Linked DNA regions of Arabidopsis thaliana. The protein of the gene in region 2 purifies or fractionates together with the protein of the main gene of each other region. This does not show direct contact. Each region holds a gene or a part of one and is shown on either strand. Other genes may lie near its edges.

Region 1 (5,782 bases), 6.5 Mb from region 2:
AAATTTGTCGATTCCCGTCTATGCATTTCTACGACAATAAGTTACTAAATGGTGTTGACATGTCAAGTAAATCAGCACCATTCCACGAGAACCATCATCTTGGACCATATGTTTTCTATGATATTGTTGATGGCCAAGAGCATCGAAGTGGCGATTCTAGCTCCGTATGCAATGAACAAGAAGCTGAAGCTGCTGTTCAACTGCTTAGATTTTTCAAGAAGAGGTCATTAATCATTCTTAAGCTATCTATTCACACATGTTTTAGAGAGTTATATGATATTATTTTACTCACTTGCTATCTTGATGCTTACAGGTACCCCTCAGAATTTGTTGCTGGAAGGATTGGCATTATAACCCCTTACAAGCGTCAGCTTGCCGTTTTGCGTTCGCGTTTCACTGGTGCATTTGGGGCTCAAGTAACAGCAGATATGGAAATGAATACTGTGGATGGCTTTCAAGGCAAAGAAGTTGACATATTAGTATTATCCACTGTAAGAGCTACACATTCGGCTCCTGATGGGGTCAATCAAAGTCGGATTGGTTTTGTTGCAGATGTTAGACGCATGAATGTTGCTCTCACTAGAGCCAAACTCTCCCTTTGGGTTTTGGGTAACACACGAACCTTGCAAAGAGACCATAACTGGGGTGCTCTTGTGAAAGATGCAAAAGAAAGAGAAGTCATCATACCAGTTAAGCGACCGTACAACTACATGTTTGGTGAGAATGTGATGGAACAAAACCATTCTGAGAATCTTCCAAAGAATTTTCCTAAGCCTGATAAACAGCATTCACGCCGCAAAGAACAGAGAGCAGAGACATCTTCTGATAGAAAACTGAGGAAAACTGATGGAGATGTTGTGCCTATCTCATCAAAAGGATCAGAGAGTAAGCACACCAGACGAAATGCGAAAGAAGAAGCTTCATCTCAAAGGGAAAAACTAGTTGCAAGCTGTGAGAAAGTAACATCCGAAGAGACTCTGAGACGGAGCCATGAAAAGAAAGAAAAAATGAAAGGCAGAGAGAAAAGCAGTAATCCAGAGATTACAGATGCAAATAGTTCGAAGAACGAAAATTCAAATGAATGGAAGAAATCTAAGAAGGCTTCATCAAAGCTTGACAGTAGCAAGAGGGCAAATCCCACAGATAAAATTGGACAGCAAGATAGGCAAATAAACAAGGGCAATGCTTCTAATCAAGGAGGTGTTGAAGATATGATATCCAAACGAAAGCAGCAGCGTGAAGCTGTTGCTGCCATTCTCAATTCGTCTCTGATTCCTTCACATAAGCCTAAACCTCCAAAGCGACCATTGTCCCCAGGTTCAACCGCCGGCAGTCATACAAGACCACCTAAGGCGATCAAAGGTAAGATTTCATTACATATCGAACCTCTTTATGTTCTTCCTCAGAAGCTGATATGCAATTGTAAATTAGTATGTCTTAATGTTGAATTTCACTTACACTCTTCTTATTTGCAGAGTCAACCAAGAACAACAGTTAACAAAGATAACAAACAAACAACTGATTTCACAAAGGTTATTTCCCACAATCGTGAACCAGTTGTTAATTTCCGGTTTCATGGGTAAGTTTTATAGTTTCCTCTGGCGTCATTCATCATAGGTTCTCTCATGTTCTAACTCTGAAACTAGCACTAGGAGAAAATTTTGGCTAACTTAGTGTTGGCAACTCAAATTGCAATATTTTGTTGAAAGTTGCCTGCTATGAAATTTTATTTTGCTGTGTATATATTATCATGCCATTATGATAAAAACTGTTTAACAAATTGTCTTTTCTTTGTTTTAGAGCAAAATTAATTGGGATAATTTTCTAATGAGATTATTGTTCAACAGTACAAAGATTGAAGTCGCTGATACTCAAATTTCACTAAATACAACACCGGAAAAAAACTCATAAGAAACCATATCAACCTAGAATTTTCCTTTCTAACAATTCAAGAGGTAGATGAAGGATCCGTCCCGATCCTAACGGCGGACCAAATTTGACCAATGCCTCTGGTAACGTGAGGCCAAACGGCGCTAATTCCGTTAAGTGTCGCACCAGAAGCTAACCCTAACGCGAAAGTCTCAACGTATCCAGGTTTCGTCTCCAGCTTCGCGTCGACGACGGCAAGCCTCCCGTTAATGGCGTCGATTTTCCTCGCGTCGGTTACAAGCTTATCCTTGCTCGAGGCGTTTCTGGAGGACGAAACTACTCGGACGAGCGCGTTTTGTAAATCTTCGATGACCTTTATTGAAGCTTCTGCTGGTTCCAGCCCTCGTTTCTGGTAGTGAGAGATTAGTTCCGTCGGAGTTGGGAATTTCTTCGATTTCTGCTTTTGTTCTGATTTGGTTTCCTCCGCCGCGTTTGGTGTCGCCGGTTGCTTCATCTTCTGCTCCGCCGGGTATACAAGTACAGAATTTGAATCTCTTATCTGGGAAATTTTCTAAAGTACAGCTCCTGGGTTGGAAGATGAGACGGAAGATAATTATTTGATTTTATTTATATTTTAAAAATCAACTTTGGGTAATTTTTCTTCATGGACTGTCTGTTGGGCTTGGGCCCACGAATACTGTGAAACTAGTAATCTCCTTTAATATGGTAAAATGATAGCATAACAACAATATTGCCTAATGCGCCTAAAAACAATACTTAGGAGGAAATTATTAAAATCTATATTATTAAGTGGGGCTTATTAAGAAAAAATGCTCCTTGTGATGACGTGTCAAAAACTCATTAGTCAGGATTGTCCAATTAACCCGGCATGAGAAATAAATTAACAAAAGAGTGTAAACTAACCTCTGAAGTGTTAGGATTTACGGTGACAACAGACAGAGAGAGTGGAGAACGCTTCTTCGGCTAGGACGACAAGCTTCGAGTTGATGGCGGTTTTCTTCTGACCATTCTCTGAAACTGTAATTTGTCTTCACTGTTTCGCCGATTTAGGGGTTTTCTTACTCGCATTTCGGAAACAAATATTATTCGTATCTGTTATTTTGCCTACAATTTCGCTAATTCTCTGTCGTTTACGTTTTCGTTTTCGTTTAGATCATGATAGTGAGAATTTAGATCTGATTGGTTTATCTACAAAATGTTGGTGTTCGATAAGTCTAGCTAAATCTTACAGTAGAATTTCATGGTGTCCGATTAATACAGAGAAATTTTCCGGGGCTTAATTCTTGTCAGTTTTATTTCAGAATCTTCTCTTATGCTGAAAACTATATATGGGAGGTGTTTCTCTCGGAGTCAATACCGAGTGAGAAAGTGTGAAGAAGCTGATCAAGATATAGTCAGACTTTGTGGGTTACGATTAGTTCTCTTGTTATGCTGTGGTAAACCTTTGGAGGGTCTTTTGTAGCGTATCAAGATTCAGCGTCCAAGTTCTGGGGCTGAGCTGCCCCGTAGCACGGGTTTTATACCTCTTCCCCTTGTTCGGAGGGCAAATTCGTTACAAAACATGATGATGGATGAAGATGTTGAGCAGGCCACTCTGGTTTCTTACAGTGACAAGCCAAGGACCTTCCCGGATATGCGTAGTAAAACTTACAGTCCATTGGTTAGGACATAATACCCTTCTCTCTCGAGCATATCTTTCTTGCATCTAAACACCGTCATATTTATACAAATATGTATTGGTGTTATATCTGGTTTTATTTCTATTTCTTTTGGTATCTTTATAATGAGTTGTTTTGTGCAGATAATCCGCATTCTGAGAAATTTAAATGTTCGTGCCCTTTCTGTACTTCTGCTTTTGAGCTTTGGAGGGATCTTTTACATGGGAGCACGTACTTCTCCCATCATTGTGTTCGTCTTTGTAGTATGCATCATCAGTTTCATGTTGTCAGTATACCTGACCAAGTGGGTATTAGCCAAAGATGAAGGACCTCCAGAAATGGTTCAGGTAATTTCACACAAGTTTTAATTTGTTCTATTCGTGATTGTGTCTTCTTTGTTACTCAGTTGCATTTTCAGTTCTGTGCTATGAGCTTATTCTTTTCTGTTTAGATATCAGATGCTATACGTGATGGAGCTGAAGGATTTTTAAGAACGCAGTATGGTACTATATCCAAAATGGCGTTCTTGCTAGCTTTTGTGATCCTTTGCATATACTTGTTCCGTAACTTAACCCCCCAGCAAGAGGCTTCTGGTTTAGGAAGGTGATCATACATCTTCTACAGAATCTTTTCTTTTATCTTTTGTGTTGTTATAAATAAAACTCAAATGTATAACTTTGTGCTTCAGGACAATGTCTGCATACATTACTGTTGCTGCATTTCTTTTGGGTGCGCTATGTTCAGGTATTGCTGGATATGTTGGAATGTGGGTGTCAGTTCGTGCTAATGTACGGGTTTCCAGTGCTGCTAGACGATCCGCAAGGGAAGCATTGCAGGTTTGTTTTTTAGTATTAATAGGAATTCCTGTACACATGGCCAAATACTAAGTGATGGATTTAATGCAGATAGCTGTTCGTGCTGGTGGATTCTCAGCTCTGGTTGTTGTTGGTATGGCTGTGATTGGTATTGCCATCCTGTATTCTACATTTTATGTATGGTTGGACGTGGATTCACCTGGCTCAATGAAGGTTACTGATCGTAAGTCATAGCTTCCTGTTCTCTGGATATCTTTCCTTTTATGTTTGGCCATTCTATAGTAACCAGCTATATTCTATGCATCAGTGCGCTGAGTTCATGTTTATTTTCAGAGATTCAAATTTAATCACAAACAGTATCTTCTTATACCAAGTTGGTACATATATGGGTTTGAGGAATCCGTTTTGCTGAATTTCAAGAAATGGCTATTTGCTAAAGAAGCAACAGCATGGGTCGAGTCTTCATCTGTAGAACCGGAATGCAAACTTTTTTGATGTTGTTCTCAAATGTTTAACGTTTGCAAACCCGAAATTGCATTTGCATGTACTAGTGTTACTTTTTAGCTTAATGATTTGACTTTCCCATTTTTCTTACAGTGCCTCTTCTTCTTGTGGGATATGGTTTTGGTGCATCATTTGTTGCCTTATTTGCTCAGTTGGGTGGTGGAATATATACTAAGGGAGCTGATGTCGGGGCAGATCTGGTCGGGAAAGTTGAGCACGGTATTCCTGAGGATGACCCTCGGAACCCTGCAGTTATAGCTGATTTGGTATTAGTTCTTTCATTTCACGATCCTTTGTGTATGATTTTGTCGGGCCTGGAACCTTTTGTCATCACTGAAGCTTCACTCTCATCTTCTTGCAGGTTGGAGACAATGTTGGGGACTGCGCTGCTCGAGGTGCTGATTTATTTGAAAGTATAGCTGCAGAAATCATCAGTGCAATGATACTTGGGGGTACAATGGCTCAGAAGTGCAAAATTGAAGGTTTGCGAGGCATCTTGATTTTATTTTAAAGAGTTGTACTGTTGGTATTTTTAGCAATAAAATTGCAAGGCTAGTTATACTGTGGTCAAACTAGCAGAAAGGGTTTTAGAGTTACCTTTCTTTTTGCTTCATGATTTTTTTATTTCTTACTCAACTTTTTCGTGTATCATGCAGATCCATCTGGTTTTATTTTATTTCCTCTAGTTGTTCACTCGTTTGACTTGGTAATATCATCAATTGGTATTCTATCGATCAAAGGAACTCGCAATGCTAGTGTGAAATCTCCAGTAGAGGATCCAATGGTTGTTCTTCAGAAAGGATATTCGCTGACTATTATATTAGCTGTTTTGACATTTGGCGCGGTAATGTCATTGATTATTTTTGTTCATTATGTGGTTGTCGAGCAGTAGCTTTTTGATGTTATATTGTCAGT
Region 2 (6,956 bases):
TGAGTGTTAAACACCACAATTGCGTTGTTAATCTTTTCGTTGCATCTGCCAGTACTATTGTTACGATTATTGTAGCGGGCGAGCTGGTAAGGTATGCAACCGATCTGTCCCACTCCAGTCACAATCACTTTCCGAGCTCCAAATTGGTACAATCGCTACGAAAAAAAGAAAAAAAAAAGAATCAAGATATAGAAAATCTATTGAGATAGATATATGCATTATTGTCTTACTGATCAACCCTTACCGTGAGCTGTTGTGTGTAGTTCTTTATCAGAGACTCAGCAAAGGTTTTGTCATTGTAATTGGTACTGGTTGAGTAAAAGTCAGGCATGAAGTAATTGTTGAGATAATCGTTACTTCCCATTCCCGAGTAAAAGATACAACGGCTTAAGTATCTCTGGAGCTCATTTGTGTCTCCTCTGAAGTATCGAAGCATCTGTTGAACCGCGGTCGTGTATAGCTCTACCTGCTGGTTCATAGAAGTATGTGCACCCTACAAAAATATTTGTAATAGAATTCGGTTAAGGCTTACAATAGGATTGATGGTGTTTTAAATTTTTTGGCGATGGATCAAAAAAAAAAAATAGTGCGTCTACCAAGTTGTCACCGGTCTCATCTCTAATGCCAGCTGCACCAGATGCGAAATTCGCACCTCTAAGTATAGCCTGGCCACGAATCCTGGAATATGGTGGAATATAGTTCCTAAATCCAAGAATTTGAGCTACAAAAAAAAATGTGTTAACTCATTAGTAAACAAATTGTCAGTGTTTGCATTGTGTTTAGAATTGTAAGACCGTTTCTAGTTAGTTCTAGGCATGTGTAAAAGGGAACATTTTGCACAGAGGACCAATGACAATATTTAGAATTTGTTTAAAAGTTTTAGGTCCCAAAAAAGTTGACATAGTATGACTTGTATTGAAATAATAAACGTTATCTAAAATATTTTCTAATTAAACACGTTGGTATATATGTACAAGAAGAATTTTACAAAGCGCTCGGTACATATAAAATTCGCCGACAAATATACCTAGTGCATCAACGTAGGTGCGACCGTTGGTGAACCGTCCCGTTGTACCTTGGGGAAAGTCAATGCCATAAGGTCGGTAATTAGCCCTCGCAAGAGAAAGCAACCTACACATAATAATACAAATTACTATGAATTTGTGTAACACATAAAAAATCATATTAATACAGAGAAAAGAATGCAAGGTTAAACCTATTGTTGTTTCCATTGTCGACTAAAGAGTCACCGAAGATGAATAAACATGGGACTTGTGCCTGTTGTTGTGGCTGTGACACGGTCGTTTTAAAACCAAACAAAACCAGATTCAAACTAATCAACAATACAAAACGGAGAATGCCCATTAAGTTATAATTTAGTGAAATAATTGTAATGGTTTTTAAGAAGAATGAGATTGAAAATTGATTTGAGTGGAGTTCATAGTTATATAATGAGGAAATGTAGTTGGTTGGTTTGGTTCGGTATGTTATAATTGGTTTCATGTGTTGATAATTTTGTGACAGTTGGTTTTTCTATTTTAATTCTCTATCTTTCTCTCTCTTACCAAACTTCTTTTTAGCTGCGGCTATATTCACAAGTGTCTCATGCATGCAGTCTCGTGAGGGTCTCAGAGTCTAATGTGTTGCTTTCCAGTTGTTTGTGTCACAAGTCACAAAGGCTATTTTTGTAACAGTTGGAACAGTACTCGAGGACAGTAAAAACTATTCTAGGCAAAAACTAAGATACGTATGTAATTGTTATTAATTGTAAAGTTTCAAGTTTTAGAATTCCAAAACTTTCCCACACTGGAAAAATAGTATTTTTATTCATATCTGCAATTGTGGAAGATTATGATCGAGCATTTTTTTTTACTGCTTTCTTGGTGATATGAAGCAATTAAATGTAAACTAGATGTTTGCCACTAAGAAGGACCCAATTTTTTGGTGATGTGAAGTCCTCGCATAAGCCTAGTTATCGAGTAGATATAGCATACTCCGAACTCATATGTATAGTAGTAAAACATAGATATGAGTAGAAGTTAAGAAACATATAACTAATCACCAATTACTCTACTTCTTTGTACAACTATAAAAACTGAACTAGCATTTCACAAAATTTCTTTAGTTCCATCCCAAGATCATTATCCTAGACAAAGACATAGCATTTTTTATTTTATTTTCTGAAGAAAACATAGTATTTTTCTTGGCTCTTAGTTTTTAGCTTTAAAAATTGTCGTGTAAAATCACAATATTACATACTTACAAGAACAGAAAAATTGTTCTCCAACTAATAAGTTCTAAATACCACATTACTTTTTCATACCTAGAAGAGGTTAAAGAGAATGGCAACTAAGATTTAAAGGTTGGTTTGGTGTAAGAGCGTGAACTCTCATCCAGAGTTAACAGATGTATCTTTAAACAGGTGAGGCATCACATATGGAACCAAGTTTGGGTTTGAATCAAAGTAAGTAGTTTATGTTGATGGAAACAGGGAAGCCTAGTGCTAAAATGGAACTTGGAAATTTCATTGTACTTAGGAAAATTCATACAAAACATCTCTTTGAGGACATATTTTAATCAATCTAACAGTGCTGGGTCCATTCACAAGATTGAAATATGGTCATATTTCAACGAACACGGCGAGCTTTCTCTTCCTGCCCCAACCCTAGAGACTTCTGTGCATTTGCAATGCCTTCAGGATCTGCATTAACCATATCAACCGTTAAAACCGCATACCAAGACAATAAATCAAGGGTCATTGAGGAGTATAAGGTTTTAAAACACTGAGGATGTCATCACAACTTTTACCGTACGACAAGAAAACATTTGACTATATAATCCGTTGCATTAACAAGGTATTCGAAAAATAATGCTCACCAAAGAATTGAGTGAAAATGCGGGTGAAGAAGCTCAAGTTGCGAGAGACATTGAATGCCATTGAAGGAGGAAGAGGCTTCACCAAAGTGTCTATAGTGAATACACTTTGCAGGAACTGTAATAGAGAAGCAGACTTTACAGCTTAGGAAAAGCGTTTTAACAATATAAAAATATAAACACATGTTACAATCTATCGAAAGGAAATCAATGGTATTCAAAAATCGCTTGTATGTGAACACTTTGTGAATGCATAAAACATGTTTCTGTGTAAAGACGGTTCGAGATGCATGCAATGTGTCATGATTCAAGTTGTTCCATACCCAAGGATTATAACAACATGACTATATAACAAAGCAGAGGCTATAAAGTACCTCCTTAACCAAGATACTAAATCACTAAGTAGTCTATGGCCAATGTGACCATGAACAATAGTAGAGGAATTTACATAACTGACTAACCAACTATTCATACGATTTCCAGAACTAATAAATATACTATAGTCGAAGGGGAAGTAGGTCTACATCGAACTACACAGAGTGTTTACAGGAAAGTATACCACCCAATAACGAAACCAATACATGTGAAAATACAAAGATCCCTTTAAACCAGTTTTACAGTTACGGTATAGTTCTTTAACAAATGTGAATCTGCTATCTGAGATTCTATCCAATGTGCAAAAGGCTCAAGATTTCGAATTTGAATGATGTATAGACACCAAGCAAGTGTATCAACCATTGCAGAATTTTCCAATTCATTCAAAACTAAAACTGGATACAATGTGTTAAAAATCAAAGCTTTATGTAACAGAGAGAGCTAAAAATCCATTCTTTGCAGCTAAAATTACTTCTTCTCAAGCTTCACATAAGCTTTCAATATCTTAAGACACAGAACAGTACCAAAGTGGTGCAGAAACATAAAAGATAAAATCTTTTTCACATTTCTCCAATACCCAATAATCTAAAGATGTGTGAACAAATGACAGAAGAAAGATTGCCACAATTTACTAGTAATTTCACAATTTCCTAAGAACAGAGCAGAGAGGAGCAAATTCACTATATGAAACCTAGAATTACAGTAATGAGAGAAGGGTAGACCTGATAGTTGCGATTGAAGCTGTAACGAAGCTGAGGATCAATCTCAAGTGAATCATCATCATCATCAGCGAGACTTCCTTTTTTGGTTCCGCGGCTAGGGACGTGCATCTTCGACATACCATCAGAATCCTTTGTGACTTTAAGCTTTGCGTTGCTAAACTTATCGGAATCATCTTCGTCGTCGCCTCTCCACGGTGCTTTTGATAACAGTTCCTTCTTCTTCGCCATTGTTAGCCAATCCTGAGTTCTTCGTGTGTGGGGTTGGTTTATATGTGAGATAAGACCTTAAAGATGCTGTTTGGTTGCAGAGTTAAACTTGTTACTAAACAAGATATGAGTTTAGGCATAAAGTAAACAAACAAGCCCAAATTGAAAAAGCCTGATTAGTGATTTATCAAATGTCATGTTTGGTTATCGAGTGAGATGTATTACCAAACGGGATATCAATTTCTGCATAATACTAACTAGGATCACCCCGTGGGCCGTGGGCCCGTGGTAATTATTTGATATTTTATGAATTTAATTGTGTATTAAAATGTTTCTTTTTTTTAATACCAGAAATTCTGGACAGAAATCCGTAATCTCGTAAGCGAAATTTAGAGGTCGTTGGTTCGAGTGACGCTTGAGACAAAACTAATATTATATGCTATCTATTAATTTTTTTTTATATTGTGAATCGATTTTTTAGTTAATAATGGACAAATAAATTTAAGCTTGTATTTCTTCTGTTTAGTGTCAAGCTTGTATAATCGTTAATTTTAAGATTTCATCCGTGTTATACCGTCTCGTATTCAAATCAACCCATCTCAGCACTCCTCGTAAAACTAAATATTATTTTATTATTATTTTTTAATAATATTTTAATTTAAAAGTTTACTTTCAAAATTTTTAAAAATTTACTTTCAAACATTATTTTCTCACAATTTTAGAGTTTACCTAGGCGTTGTGGTAACTAGTAATGAGGGCCACAACAGAACGACATGTGATATCGCATATAGGTGCTGTTCGTTTGATCAGTTAGGTAGTGCATCTGGGTGATCCATCCAGAAGATCCATTCAGATGCATCATTTGGATGATGTTCAATCCTGAAGTTGGTAGTGCATTTGGATGAATCATCTGAATGCAGATGTGTTCGTTTGAATTATTTTTTAATTATGTACATCTGCATCTGAATGCATAGTGTATCAAATGACTAAAAAAGACATATATTTATCTTAGTCTTATTTTTATGATGTAAATGTATTATTCTTTTATTAAAATTAGGAAAACACTAAAAAAAATTGTAAGAAAATATGGTACTAAATTAAAAATTTACAAATTAGTTTTGTTCAAAAATATTCATTAATTAAAGTTAAAAGAAGGCACATAAAAAAACAATGAGGAATATAAAACAGAAATACATCATTGTAAACACAATATTTTTTTGTCTACAATAACCACTAATATAAAAGTCGATATCTTCTAACTATCTTTTCGGTGATAGAATCACGTACATCTTTCATCACTCTATCACCAACCGGTACGTACAGTACATGATCTGTGTTTGGAACATTGTCTTCTACTTCATCATTCTCTACTACTTCATCATCATGATGTTCATATTCTTCCACTGCTTCTCAATGTACAAAATCTGCATCCTCTTGACATGAATCTCTGATAACATTATGGAGAGTCATAGTTGTTGTCACAAGTTTCACCCACTTTTTCAACTCATATTAAGGGTGTTTGCGATCCAATATCCTCCACTTAGCCTTCCAGACTCCAAATGTTCGCTCAATTATCGAACGCAAATCAGAGTGCTTGCGGTTAAACAATTCTCTAGTATTAAACCCCGAAATATATTACAAGTAAGAATCAAAAATAAAGAGAGAGATATGTATACCTAGAACCGAGCTAGCGCTAATGGAAAAGAAGATCGAGAGCTAACGCTAATGGAGAAGCAGATCGAAGAGTGAGAGATAAAGGGAAGTGAAGAATCCTAAAGATCTCTTTTTCTTCTTTGTCCAGAATTGTCGAGAACCGTAGGGTAAGAAATGGCTTTTTGTAGTTCTTCAATTTTTAAAGGTGTATTTTAGTCATTTGCTGTTTTTGACTGCAGCTGATGCATCTCAATGCACCGATCAAACTCAGCTGAAATTTTTGAATTTTTTGGATGAGTTTAATAAACTCAGCTAACTGATGCATCCAACTGTTCTACCAAATTGTGTCCAAACAAACATCAGTTGTCATCTGCACCTAGATGAATCAGTCAACTGATCAAACGAACAATACCTTAATCAATTGAGTTTTTCAATCGAAAGATTCTCTATGTTTTGTTGTTGAATTTTATCAAAACTTCTGTTTTGTTATCCTTTTTGTATCTTGGAGCACAAGCACTAGTACTGTATATAGTAGACATGATATTCTGAACCGAACCGAGATTTAAACAAATCGGTTCGATCTGAACATGAGTTTTTTTTTTCATTTTTTTTTCATTTTTTTTTCCTTTAGACTGAGTCCGTTACTCATTTAGCCTCATATTTTGGCTTTGATTTACCTTTAAACACCCTAATTTGACAAATTCTACCAATGACCTTATGACCAATTATCAGTTCAGATAAATTCCTTATTTGTATTCATTAATCAAAAGGGATAATGAAATCACAAATAATCATGCGAATACTAGTATGTATCGATTTCAGTAAATGCACTAAAATCTTGAAAAACGTATTTAAATCAAGCAAAAACAAAACAAAACAAATACAAAATGCCAGCTAAGCAAGTCCTTCAATGTCCACTAGGTAAAACAATTTACCAGCCCTGAGTCCGTTGACCGACCAACGACGGTGAACTAAATAAATCTCCCACCACAAAATTAACGGCGGCGATCAACTTCCACCGGACAAAAAGGTCGTCCAGCACGAGCCCGATGACTAGGAATAGTAAAATGTCTAAGTCTCCCATTTTGCTCCCTCATATAACCTTTACACAAGAAAGTCGCCGAG

Evidence for each region.
Region 1: the proteins of AT1G33810 (region 2) and AT1G16790 fractionate together in Arabidopsis thaliana (co-fractionation; one large-scale study listed by BioGRID). This does not show direct contact.

The regions. Positions count from the first base shown.
Region 1 is NC_003070.9:5,741,239-5,747,020, reverse strand, and holds AT1G16790 (ribosomal protein-like protein), read right to left. Parts: upstream 2,687-5,782; 5' UTR 2,384-2,686; coding exon 1,949-2,383; 3' UTR 1,762-1,948; downstream 1-1,761. Other genes in the region: AT1G16800 (P-loop containing nucleoside triphosphate hydrolases superfamily protein), read left to right, coding at 1-223, 314-1,362, 1,476-1,498; VHP2;2 (Inorganic H pyrophosphatase family protein), read left to right, coding at 3,452-3,550, 3,692-3,895, 4,000-4,151, 4,237-4,384, 4,454-4,586, 4,961-5,133, 5,229-5,349, 5,524-5,711.
Region 2 is NC_003070.9:12,262,327-12,269,282, reverse strand, and holds AT1G33810 (zinc finger/BTB domain protein), read right to left. Parts: upstream 4,342-6,956; 5' UTR 4,200-4,341; coding exon 3,972-4,199; intron 2,993-3,971; coding exon 2,878-2,992; intron 2,702-2,877; coding exon 2,628-2,701; 3' UTR 2,363-2,627; downstream 1-2,362. Other genes in the region: AT1G33811 (GDSL-like Lipase/Acylhydrolase superfamily protein), read right to left, coding at 1-155, 245-493, 597-721, 1,028-1,131, 1,217-1,365; GXMT1 (glucuronoxylan 4-O-methyltransferase-like protein (DUF579)), read right to left, coding at 6,827-6,956.